3 linked regions of the Coturnix japonica genome follow. The protein of the gene in region 3 binds, or shares a complex with, the protein of the main gene of each other region. Links are inferred from orthologs where the notes say so. Each region holds a gene or a part of one and is shown on either strand. Other genes may lie near its edges.

The links. The genes of interacting proteins can lie anywhere in the genome.
Region 1: TAF3 (region 3) and transcription initiation factor TFIID subunit 4-like share a complex: the UniProt entries of both Homo sapiens proteins name them as parts of the TFIID basal transcription factor complex. The link is inferred for Coturnix japonica from reciprocal best matches to the Homo sapiens genes TAF3 and TAF4.
Region 2: TAF3 (region 3) and TAF12 share a complex: the UniProt entries of both Homo sapiens proteins name them as parts of the TFIID basal transcription factor complex. The link is inferred for Coturnix japonica from reciprocal best matches to the Homo sapiens genes TAF3 and TAF12.

The regions. Positions count from the first base shown.
Region 1 is NC_029526.1:9,443,454-9,447,687, reverse strand, and holds the start of transcription initiation factor TFIID subunit 4-like, read left to right. Parts: upstream 1-1,362; 5' UTR 1,363-1,407; coding exon 1,408-2,458; intron 2,459-4,234. UniProt on the Homo sapiens protein: The TFIID basal transcription factor complex plays a major role in the initiation of RNA polymerase II (Pol II)-dependent transcription.
Region 2 is NC_029538.1:2,029,221-2,033,316, reverse strand, and holds the start of TAF12 (transcription initiation factor TFIID subunit 12), read right to left. Parts: upstream 2,873-4,096; 5' UTR 2,797-2,872; intron 1,826-2,796; 5' UTR 1,754-1,825; coding exon 1,685-1,753; intron 1,196-1,684; exon of another isoform or gene 1,086-1,195; intron 435-1,085; coding exon 183-434; intron 1-182. Other genes in the region: discoidin, CUB and LCCL domain-containing protein 1-like, read right to left, coding at 3,563-4,029. UniProt on the Homo sapiens protein: The TFIID basal transcription factor complex plays a major role in the initiation of RNA polymerase II (Pol II)-dependent transcription.
Region 3 is NC_029516.1:3,778,039-3,781,637, forward strand, and holds part of TAF3 (transcription initiation factor TFIID subunit 3), read left to right. Parts: intron 1-574; coding exon 575-2,397; intron 2,398-3,599. UniProt on the Homo sapiens protein: The TFIID basal transcription factor complex plays a major role in the initiation of RNA polymerase II (Pol II)-dependent transcription.

The sequences.
Region 1 (4,234 bases), on a different chromosome or scaffold from region 3:
ACACGACCTTGTTTGGATATTCTTAATGCGTTTTAGATGTGGTTTATTTTCATTTATCATCAACCTGTTCCTAAAAGCATGAATAGAACCTGGAAAGAAACTCCCCTGAACAAAAATGTGTCACCTGGATGGTAACAAGTGATGGGCAGCTCAGCCTCGTGACTCCAGCCAGATCATACAGTGTGAATTGGAGTTTGAAAGTGGGTTACCAGCTGTGTGGATATAGTGAGACCGACACTCTTTCCTACGAGTTCACTTTGTGCTCAGGATGGTCATTCACTGCTCTGCATCTTTCAGTTTGGAGGAGAATCCTGAAAACATCGTAAAGTGAGTCATCATTTCAGGCCACCGCGTAGCAGACCAAAGGCATCCAGCTCTGCAGACATCCATGCTATGGTAGGTCAGCAGACAGCTGCAGGAATCCAAGCTGTTCTCTGCTGTCAGCTTGAAAAATACACGGTGGTTATCGCTTGTGTGCAAGAAAGGATGTAATGAATCGTGGAAAGCGATGTGGGTAAAATCACTTTCTCTGCAGGTCCCATCAAAGAAACTGCTCTGTCATTTGTCAAACAAATTACAGGTTGGGGCTACAGTTTTCCTCCTGGAAAGCAGTGATGGAAAAAGCGCGTATAGAAAAGCAATGACAAAATTGCTACAAGCAGAATGAACCGCCTCACATTTCCAGTGGGGATGGTGAGGGAACAGCATGAGGGCAGCCGCTGTGAGGATGCAGAGCTGTCTGGTGGTTTACAAGCCTCCCACTGACAGTGAAACGCAGGAGTTTAGGACACGAGAGCTTTAAGCAGACACGGCAGCCTGCCTGTATCGGGACTGACAGCTTCGGGAGCACGATGCTGCCTAGGAGAACAAGCCTGCGTTGTGCAGCGGAGCCTTCTGGCCGCCCGCCTGCAGCTCCCGCTCAGCACCGCCTGCTGCCTGGGGCTGTTCACATGAGAAACGACTTGAAGGCGAAGCACACGGTCCTGGCAGCTTTGCGAGCTCCAGGTATCTCGATCGCACGGCGCTTCATTTCGCAGCGTGCAAACACACAGCGCTCCGAGCCGGCTGGGCAGGCTGTACCAGGCGTCAGAAATCCCGCACCGCCGTAGCGCTGCTGCCCGACGCTCCCACGCAGGTCGGCAGGCCCTGCCCGCACTGCCGGCCGGGAGCAGCGGGACCCTGAGCATCTCAGCAACCGTGCCGAAAATCGAGCCCCAAAGCGCCCACACCGACACACCGACACACCGACACACACCGACACACCGACACACCGACACACCGACACACCGACACTCCGCCCGCCCCACGGCGAGGGGAGGAGGGACGCGGCCCCTCCCAGGGTGCCCCGCGCGCGACACAGGCCGGCGCGCCTGCGCGCTGCGCGGCCGGCTCCCACCTCAGCGCAAGATGGCGGCGGGCGCCTCGGACCCCCTGGAAGAGATGCTGCTCTTCTCCGAGGAGGTGGACGAGAAGGCGGTCAGCGACCTGGTGGGCTCCCTGGAATCGCAGCTGGCCGGCGGCCGGGGCTCGGCCGAGGCGCCCCAGCCCAGGACCTCCGCCCCGTCCCAGCAGCAGCCGCAGCAGCAGCGCCAGGGCAGCCTGGCGGGGGGCGGCAGCCCCGTCCGGCAGCAGCGGGGGCACCCCGCGCCCCCCCCCGCTACCGGGGCGGAGGAGGCTGCGGCGGGCCGTCCCGGAGCCGCGGAGAGCCGAGCCCCCGCCCCGGGGCCGCTCCCGTCCCCGTCCCCCCCGGCGGCAGCGGCGGCGGTAGCGGCGGCGGCGGCGGGGCGGGGAGTGAGTGTAAACAGTAGTAGTGTGCAGCAATCACATGGAGCGGCTCTGCTCGGCGGCAGCCCCGCCGCCCCGGCCCCGTCGCAGCCCGCCGCGCCCCCGCCCGCCCCGCCTGTCAACAACCATGTGGCCGCCGGCACCGGCTCCCGGGACGCGGGCAGCCCCAGTCCCGGCCGCAGCCCGCCCGCCGCGGAGCCGCAGCCGCGCAACGAGGCCGCGGAGGGGAGCGGGGCGGAGGGCGGCGGGCGGGCGGCGGCGACGGAGGGAGCCGACTCCGCCGATCCCGCTCCGCTCCCCGGCGAGGCGGCGCCCAACGGGGAGGGCGCCAGGGCTCGGGCGGCGGCGGTGCCGCCGGTCAGCGGTCGGCAGAGCCCGGCCGGCAGGGAAGGCGGCGCGGCGCAGCCCAAGCCCGCGCACGGCCCGCAGCCCGCAGTAAACGCACTCGGCAACTCCGCCAGCCCCGCGCCCGCCGCTACCCCGCCGGGACCGGGCTCGGCCGCCAAACCCGCGGGCGTCTCCAAGCCGGCCGCTGCCCTCCCAGCCGCTTCGCAGGCGCTGTCGCCGCGGCCCGCCCTGGGTGCCGCCCCGAGGCTGGTGGCCCCGCAGCTGATCGTCAGGCCGCCTCAGCAGACCACCATCCAGCTGCCGCCGGGCTTCACCATCCCGCCCGGTAAGTGGGGCGGGCGGGGCGGGCGCTCGGCTCTGCTCGGCCTTTCTCTGACGGAGGTTTTCAAAGTTCGCGTTTTCCCGCTGCTCGGCGTGTTGAGAGCTAAAGGACGAGCACCCGTCTGAGGGCGAGTTCTGGCCGACTGTCCGGCATGAGCGAGGTTGTAGTTGGCTTAGGGCACTTTGCTGTTGGTGCAGAGTAGTTGTGCCTCTTGTTTGGCGAGTACTTGTTTCCTCTCGTTGGGAGAATGGTGGTCACGGTAAGTTATTTTGTAACGGTGTAAAAACAGCTGTGCACCAGAACAATCTGGAGTGTGTTAACCAGGAATCACGTCTCTCTTGAAGCGTTCTGCAATCTCTTGATATGGAGAAAAGTTTTCGTTTTCAGTGAGCACCTTCTGATGGGCACCAGGTGACTGTATCCATACTACACAGTCTGATTTAATGTGAAGTTTGTCCTTTTGGGGTGCGTGACTGTGTTGCCCCTTACTGCGTACTCACAGCCTTGCCATCACTGGATTTTGTTTCCAACCACGAAGAATTCCCCATGTCCTGCTTGTTCTCCTTTTATTTTCTTGGTGTTGTTTTGTAAAGTTACAAGTTTAGCTGGTGAATCAAAGCAGCATCTCCCCATCCCGGTACCAGGTACCACTTTACCTGAACATTCCCAGGGTCTCAGTTTGTGCTTAGATTACAGTGTTGCAAAAAGTTGCTAAGTTTGTTACAGGTCCGGGAGATGAATTGGTATGTAAACTTTTTTTTCCCCTCTTTTTTCTATCGAGGTCAGCAGTGTGACACTACCTGGAGATGCTGATGTAACCTCAAATAATCAATTTCTTTTGCCATGTTTCTTTTAATAGCTGTTTTTTGTTAGCTAAGATAAATTTTTCTGTAGCTGTGTATTTAACTGTAGTTTATGGAACTCCAAATTCTGGTGTCCCAACTGGATAAAGCTCAGAGGTTTCCCGGAGTCGTGACTAACTCAAAGGGGTTAGTTTAAAAATGTCTGGCTATATTCCCACTATGTTGGTGGCTTTAGCGATTGATTTCACATTTTTAATATGCTTGATTAATACTAAATTCATGTGAGAAACTGTACCATGACTTTCTATACAGTTTCTGCGGCTTATTGCCTTTGTTCCACTATGTAGTTTTTAAACAGAAGGGGAAAACGGAGCCCTTGAAAGCAATCTTGTCAGAGGTTTAGAGGCAGTTCTGGAAACAATAGTGTGGAAAATGTTTCACTTGAATTTAATTTTATTACTAGATAGCTTGGAATCCATTAAATTGCATTAACGGGAGGATAGCATGTTCTAAGGATGAGAGTAATTCAGAAAATACACTGTTATTTTTGATTAATTACTCTTAAGTTTGTACATCATTATTAACTGATATTGAAACTCCTGTACTGTGATCTTCTGCCTAATGCAGAAGTTTAGAATGAGTTTATTTTAGCAAGTATTACTATATTAAGCATATAATAACCAGTTCTAGCACTTCATACTGGCTTATGAGTTGGATCTTTTCGTGGCTGACAATAAGGAAAAATTAATCTCCATGTTTAACTCAGTTCCGAGGATCTGATCACTTCCTACGTGCTGCAAAATAGTTTTCAAGTCCTTAAAGCTGGATTAAAATATAAAATTGCTGCACGAACATCTTTGTGTCTGTAGAAGCAGTTATATCTGCAACTTTTATTGAAACCATGTGGCTCCTGTTGCAATTAATTTGTACATTCTGTTCATTTATTAATTTTTTTAAAAATTCAGATTGAATTTTA
Region 2 (4,096 bases), on a different chromosome or scaffold from region 3:
GCTCTAAAGCTCATCACCTTTAGCATTTCAAATGGCAAACGGCCACACGTGAGTGCTGGATTACTGCAGGGCAGAAGGCAGCATCCTATCAGCCCAAATATGTGAATAGATCAGGAATTCCAGCACTGCTGGGCAGCAGGGAGAGCTGTGAGCATCCCCCCTGCAGCTGGGGATGAATTTACCTGGTTGCTTTCAGGACTGAGCCGCCCTCCTCCGCTGGGTGTACCCGGCATCTTTGCCACGGCGGTGCTGTTTGCCATGGAGCTTTGAGGGGGAGTGCTGGCAGGTTCAGGCTTTATGGAGGAGAAGTTGGAGAGGTTGATCAAGGTAGATGGGCCAAACTGGTTCATAATCTGTTGGGCTTTAGCTTTTAGATCATAAAGCTTGTCGAGGTCCTGCTTCTTCTTGGGGTTGTGGGGACCCAAACCGATCAACTGGAGAGAGGGAGACAGACAGTCAGCAAACAGAGCAGGAATCTAAAGGGGGATCCAAAGTACTGACAGGACCCAGAGTTCATAGATGGGTCTCTGGACCTGAACGTTTAGAAGACATTCCCTGGTATATGGGCAATGAAGTCTTCCCTGAGAAGCACAGCAGCTGCATGCAGCACCCTGACATCAGCGGCTCCTCACCCTGCTGGATCCTGCATGTGTTCAGCCTCACAGCAGGGCCTGCCTGAACCACCTCACACGTACTGCAGGAGGCTTCGAGGGTGAGACCAGAGCTGAGATTTAACCTAAGGACACAGCCCAGCCCGCAATGCACAGCAGGCTCGAGCCCTGTCTGTGCTCAGTCCACAAACCCAGGAGGCAGAAGCCTAAACCAGAAGACAACCATGCTTGGGCTCCCCTCACTGCGGGTCTCAGTTTTTGCAGCAATCCCCCTCCTGAAATCCAGAGCCATCTTCACAACACAGAGCTCAGCTCCAGCTCTAAGGAACAGCGACAAGAGAGGAAACACAGACGTGGCTTCGCATGGAGGGACACCAAAAGCCACAGTGAGGAAACCTAACAGGGGAGGTTGTGGCAGCACAACGTGCAGCTCAGCCCTCCTGGGGTCACCACCACGTGCCTGTGGTTACTCACATTGTCGGCTGCATGGACGGAGCAGAGCTGCTGTGTGCAATGCACTCACAGTGATGAGCAGAGCGTCTCCTGTCTCAGCTACAAACACGTTTTCCCTTCAGCAGAGCAAGCTGTTAGTTCGGATTAATCCATACAGAAAACAAAACCAGAGATCAGGCTCAGCCAGCGGCTGTTTTAGTGCTTCACAAACACAAACCCATGCGGAGCTCTCCTACAAGAGACTTTACATTGAGCCCAATGGCACAAGGCCCTTATGCTCAAACCTCAGCATCCTCAGCGCTGTTTCATTGCACACCTGGGTTTGCACAGGGGCTGCCTGCAGGCTGTTTGCTCCCATGCTTTATATCCACATCCACCAAGCAGGAATCCTCACCATCCATGCAGGGAAGGAGCCAACACCTGTTACATGGCTTTACAAAACCATGACAGCAATGATTTGAAACCCTGGGCAGGATGCACTTCGTTGGTATAAAGCCACTTTGCACATCATTCTCCTGATCTTATGGCACCTTTTGGGTGCTGTTAAGATCACTGAAGGCAAAACACCCACGGTGAGGCCCTGCATGCCAACTCAAGGCAACCTCACTCCGTTTACTTACAGCTATCTGCGTGTCTAGATCTTTAATTACATCAGCCACTGCTGTGGGCCCAGCGAACGGGGAGGCCATTTCCCAAAGCCTTCCTTGGGGTCAGCAGCTTAAACTACTGTGTTCCACATCACTCCCAGTCCTACAGGACTCCTACAGGAACACCAGATATTGGCACCCAGCCCCAATTAACAGGGAACACTTTGGCCATTCCCAATTAACAGGAAGCACTTTGGATCCATGAGCTCCTGTTGGATGTGCTGCTCATCCATCCCAATTCTCCCTCTCAATTTGAAGCCGTTCCCCTTTAACCTGTCATTCCCATGTCAAATCTCCCTCCCACTCCCCTTTATCCTGTTGTTATCATGTCAGATCTCCTTCCCATTCCCCTTTATCCTGTTGTTATCAACTCAGATCTCCCTCCCATTCCCCTTTATCCTGTTGTTATCATGTCAGATCTCCCTCCTACTCCCCTTTATCCCATTGTTATCACATCAGATCTCCCTCTCATTCCCCTTTATCCCGTTGTTATCATGTCAGATCTCCTTCCCGTTCCCCCTTATCCTGTTGTTATCATGTCATATCTCCCTCCCATTCCCCTTTATCCCATCGTTATCAGCTCAGATCTCCCTCCAGTTCCCCTTTATCCTGTCGTTATCATGTCAGATCTCCTTCCCATTCCCCTTTATCCTGTTATCACATCAGATCTTCCTCCCATTCCCCTTTATCCCGTTGTTATCAGCTCAGATCTCCCTCCCTTTCTCTCCTATCAGCCCACATCCCCCTCCAATCACTCTCAATCAGCTCCCATGGATCTCAATGCTGCACACCCCACACGGACACCCAGCGGCTCACCCCCAGCCCTTTGATACACGGCTCATATCGCCCTATACAGCCCGTATTACAATCCCTACGGGCCGCCCCGTGCTCTCCTTACATCGGGAGGCCTCAATCAGCACCAAGACCCGGCAAATCACCGGGAGGACAACGCAGCCCCTCGTAGCCGACCTCAGCCCCACCGGTACCGGCTGTACGGCCCCATATAACCCCATATAACCCCATATCGCCCCATATAACCCCATATAACCCCATATAACCCCATATAACCCCATACAGCCCCGTACCTCCCCATGCCCCGCGGGCGGACCGAGGCCCAGCCGCCGGAAGTACTATCGGCGCCGTGGGACGCACTGCGCGTGCGCAATGTTGGGTCTGTAGGAGGCGGGGATTGAGAGCAACCCAGCATGCACCGCGTGATTTGCATAATGCTCCCAGAGCAACGGGGCGGGCGGGAAAACGAGATTTTTGAGTGAAAAAAGATGTGAAAACAGCCAAAAGCGCAGCGATATGAAGGGGGAAAGGTGGGGGATGAGGTATTTCACATCATCTTCGCTCGCCCGGAGCTCGAGGGGATTGCGCTGCTCGTAATATGCCGCATCGGGATAGCGGAGCTTTAAAAAGGGCTTCTGCCGTGCGTGGCACGGGGGGGCTGCGGCCGCCCCCGCGGAATCGACATCAAGAGATTTCGGAAGCACAATTTTTGTGGGGGGGGTCGCCGGTAACCGACTGTTCCGGCGCCCCGGGCGGTGTGTGAACGGCAGCGATAAGAGTAGGGGTCCCTATAGTGGGTGTCTATAGGGGGGCTGAGACTGTAGTGGACCCCCCCCCCCCATAGGGCTGTATGTGATGGGGTTGGGGCTGTATGGAACCAGGCACCATCTGTACCCAGAGCTTCTACCCACCTGTGTGTCCACACAGCTGATGGAGGATCGCTCTGTATCCATGTATGTATATATAGATATGGATATATTTAAATATTAGTGCACATTTCCTTATAAAACCCCTCTGTGCCCCCCCACACAACGAAGGCCTCCAGCTGTATGTGCAGCCTCACCAGGCCTCGTGGTACACGTGTGAGCAGGGACAGTCTGTGGGCTCATCTGAGCCGGGTCCATCCGCACCGACCTCCTCACCCCCATTGGGGCCAGCAGTCCGCTCTGCACCGGGTGGGGCTGAGCCCAGCACAGGGGGCTGCAGAGGGGGGGCAACGTACCGTGATGGGGGGGAGGATGGAGAGCCGGCACGGCTGGGGTCGGTGCGGGTCCATTTGGGGTCGGTGCGGGTCCATTTGGGGTCGCTGTGGGTCCATCGGGTGCCGCTGGGTTCGGGCTCACCGAATGGTGTGGCGTATTCGGGTTCTGGAGGAAGAGGCTCCGCGTATTCGTGGTGTTTACCTGGCACGTCGTAATGGCTGACGACCAGTGGTAAGGTATAGCCTTCATCTGGGGGGGGTTTGAAGGTGGACGAGCCCAACTGGCTGCTGGGGCTCAGCTGCACCACGTCTGGCTCAGCATAGTCTGCAATGGGGTAACACAGCTCTGAGATGGGGCTGGCCATGCTAAGTTTGTAGCCCCACGTCCAGCC
Region 3 (3,599 bases):
TTTCATTTCGCTTTCAGTAAAGAAGGAATCCAGCTTATGTTCTCCAGAATTGCTCAATGATGCAAAAAAACAGCAGGGTGATGGGGCGATGAATTTCAAAGTTGTGCTCCTGATCCAAACCAGCACACATACATGCTGACACAGGGGTGCTCCCATGTAATCGTAACAGTTAGTGTACCATACAGCAAGCTCTTAAGGTGAATCAGAAACAGAACCTAGCAGGTTGAACAAAATTCAGTCCATGGCTTCTAGCTGAGCCACTTCAAGAAAAACAAATCCAGTTTAGGAAGACATCTTCCTAGTAGTTAATTCGCCATCAAAATTCTACGATATTTAAACAAGACCGCTAATTCCAGTGGATTTTACTTACATGTACACATAGTGGATGCTATGATCCAGAAGAAGCTCCTCACTTTTCTTTCAAGTAGACTGGCATGAAGTGGTTTTAAGGACAGTTAATGTAGGAGGTAACATATGAGAGCTAAAATGCATGTGAACTTTTGATACTTTTTTGTTTCTGTAAAACACATTTTGAATTATCCCTAATGCTTATTTAAAATGCTCTTTGTTACAGAAGAGGAAGAGGAACAAGTACCAACAGATGGAGGTACATCTGCAGAGGCCATGCAGGTGCCACTGGAAGAAGAAGGAGATATGGAAGAGGACGAGGCAATTAATGATGAAAATTACTTGAGCAAGAGAACATTAGAAAGTCCTGATGCTGAAGAATTTCCACCCATGAAACGACCAAAACTGTCTGTTTCTAAAGGAGACGCTCTGGATGGAGCTTTGGAACCACGTGAGCCTCTTAGCTCAATAAATACTCAAAAAGTACCTCCGATGCTTTCTCCAGTTCATGTTCAGGACAGTTCAGACTTAGCCCCTCCTTCACCAGAACCACCAATGTTGGCTCCCATTGCAAAACCACAAGTGCCAGCCCCCAAGACATTAGAGTCAAAGCCACTTGCACCCAAAACAAAGTCCAAATCAAGTTCTCCAGGACAAAAGACAAAATCACCTAAAACTACCCCCTCACCAGTGGTTGCTGGAAGTCCCATACGTTCACCAAAAACTGGATCCAAAGAAAAAAAGTCACCAGGTCGCGCCAAGAGCCCCAAAAGTCCCAAAAGTCCAAAGGCTCCCGTTCATGTCCCCCCGCCACCTGTTAAACCTGAAACACCAAGCAGAACCCCTCTGGCTGCATTAAGTGACAAAATAGGAAAGGAAAACATTCAAGTAAAACAAGGACAGACACCACCTGAGCCTGTGACCAAGCCAAATATTGAAAACCAGACTAAGAAATTACCGGTGATGGACAAGACTATTGATGATTCAATAGATGCTGTGATTGCTCGTGCGTGTGCTGAGCGAGAACCCGATCCCTTTGAGTTTTCCTCTGGTTCTGAGTCAGAAGGGGAAATTTTTACCAGTCCAAAAAGACTTTCTGTTTCAGAGACTACAACTCCAACTCCTAAACCTTCTGTTTCTGCTAATTGTTCTAATAAGGCAGGAGCAACTCCGATACCTCCATCAGGTGGGACTTCGAGTTCAGACATTTCATGGACAATGGATGACTCAATTGATGAAGTCATTCGAAAGGCAAACATGGGGACACCTTCTAATCCACCTGCAAACTTCACTTACTTCTCTTCTCCTTCTGCTTCACCGCCAACTCCAGAACCTCTTCTCAAAGTCTATGAGGAGAAAACCAAGTTGGCTTCCTCTGTAGAAGTGAAAAAGAAACTGAAGAAAGAGCTGAAGACAAAAATGAAGAAGAAAGAGAAACAGAAGGAAAAAGATAAAGAGAAAAACAAGGAGAAAAACAAAGAGAAGGAAAAAAACAAAGAGAAGGATAAAGACAAGGAAGGAAACAAGGAGGCGAAGTTTCAGTGGAAGGAACTTCTCAAAGATGATGAACATGATCCCTATAAATTCAAACTAAAAGACTTTGAGGATGCTGACACAAAAGTAAAGTTGAAAGATGGCAATACCAAAAAAGAGAAAGAAAAACATAAAGATAAGAAGAAAGAGAAGGAGAAAGGTAAAAAAGACAAGGATAAGAAAGACAAAGAGAAAGTTAAAGATAAGAGTAAGGAAGATAAGATAAAGCCCCCATCAGCACCTCTTGTGTTACCTCCCAAAGAAATGTCTTTGCCCTTGTTCAGCACACCAACTGCCATGAGGCTTCCCAGCATGTTACCTTCCTTGTCTCCTATGCTTCCTGAAAAGTTGTTTGAGGACAAAGAAAAACCAAAAGAGAAGAAGAAGGACAAAAAAGAGAAGAAGAAAAAGAAAGAAAGGGAGAAAGACAAAGAAAAGGAAAAGAAGGATAAGGAAAAGGAGAGGAAGGAAAGAGAGAGGAAGGAGAAAGAAAAAGAGAAACATAAACATGAAAAGGTGAGTTGTTTAAAAGAGCTGAGATGGCATCATTGTTTGACAAGTGCACATGGATTCCTGAATTTGCTGCTGAGAAGCATATGTGATACAGAAGATATGTGACCACAGACTTCATACACTTTAAAACAAACAAACAACCAGTGTTGTTTGTTGCTTCAATGTAAGAAGCACCCCAGAAATTTCAGGTATTACCCTACTTCTTTGGGAGGCAAAAGAATAGAAGCTCAATTTTGTGAGTTTGGAATATGAGATCTTGCCTTGATTTTGGTTTGAATTGGGTTGGTTTGGTTTTACGTGAGATTTCTGGTTTTCCTCAACTCACTTTTCGCTTTGGAAAGCCAAGACTTACACTCAGTGGCAAAATGCAGAACAAATGTATGCTCTGTTGCAATGCCCAAATTTTGTTCTGTGGATTTCCTCTAGTGAGGCCAACAGCCTTTCATATAAAATTCAAATACAGTTTCTAGAAGTTTACTGTTTCAAAGCCTGTAGAAGTCTGTAGGTTACTGGATGGCCATAAATGAGGAGCAGACCACCCTAGAATAAGTCATCATTTGTGTACCAGTAGAGCTACCAAATCCTCTATTAGGAAGACCTCAGCCTTCATGCTCCAGTTAGACAGAAGTAAGAAAATTGTTTTCAACCTGTAGTCTAAATGCATATTCTGAATATTCAAATATCACCTTTTGTTTTGATTTTTAAGCTTGAGATGGAGGAGACCTGGCTTTCAAATGGACTGAGCTGCTTCTTCTCCTGTAGCTCTTACTGGTTTATATCAGCCACGGACAGTTCCTTCTTTCCAATATCACCTAATCTTGAGAATATCTTTAATATATAAAAAATGAAACCAGCATATTTGCATGTTATCTGATTTTAAATCCCATTAGAAATGACTTCCCTAATTCAAGGTTTGCTGTACTTTTTGTCACTTAAACTTATATTGTGCATTCAGTTGTTAATACTAAAAGAAAAAAAAAGAGCAGAAAAGAAAGAGATTGTCTTGGATACTGATAACCTTGGATGCAGGATTTCTTAAATCTCTATCCTTAGCATTAGGAAGCACCGCTTACATTCTGGTTTTACAGAGATATTCTTTACGTTCTGCTTTGAGTATAATACTCACTTTGTACAAGCTCAGACTTGGGATATTCCTCGCTATCCATTTTCGATGCTGTGAGGGATGGTACCCTGGTGTGCTGTCT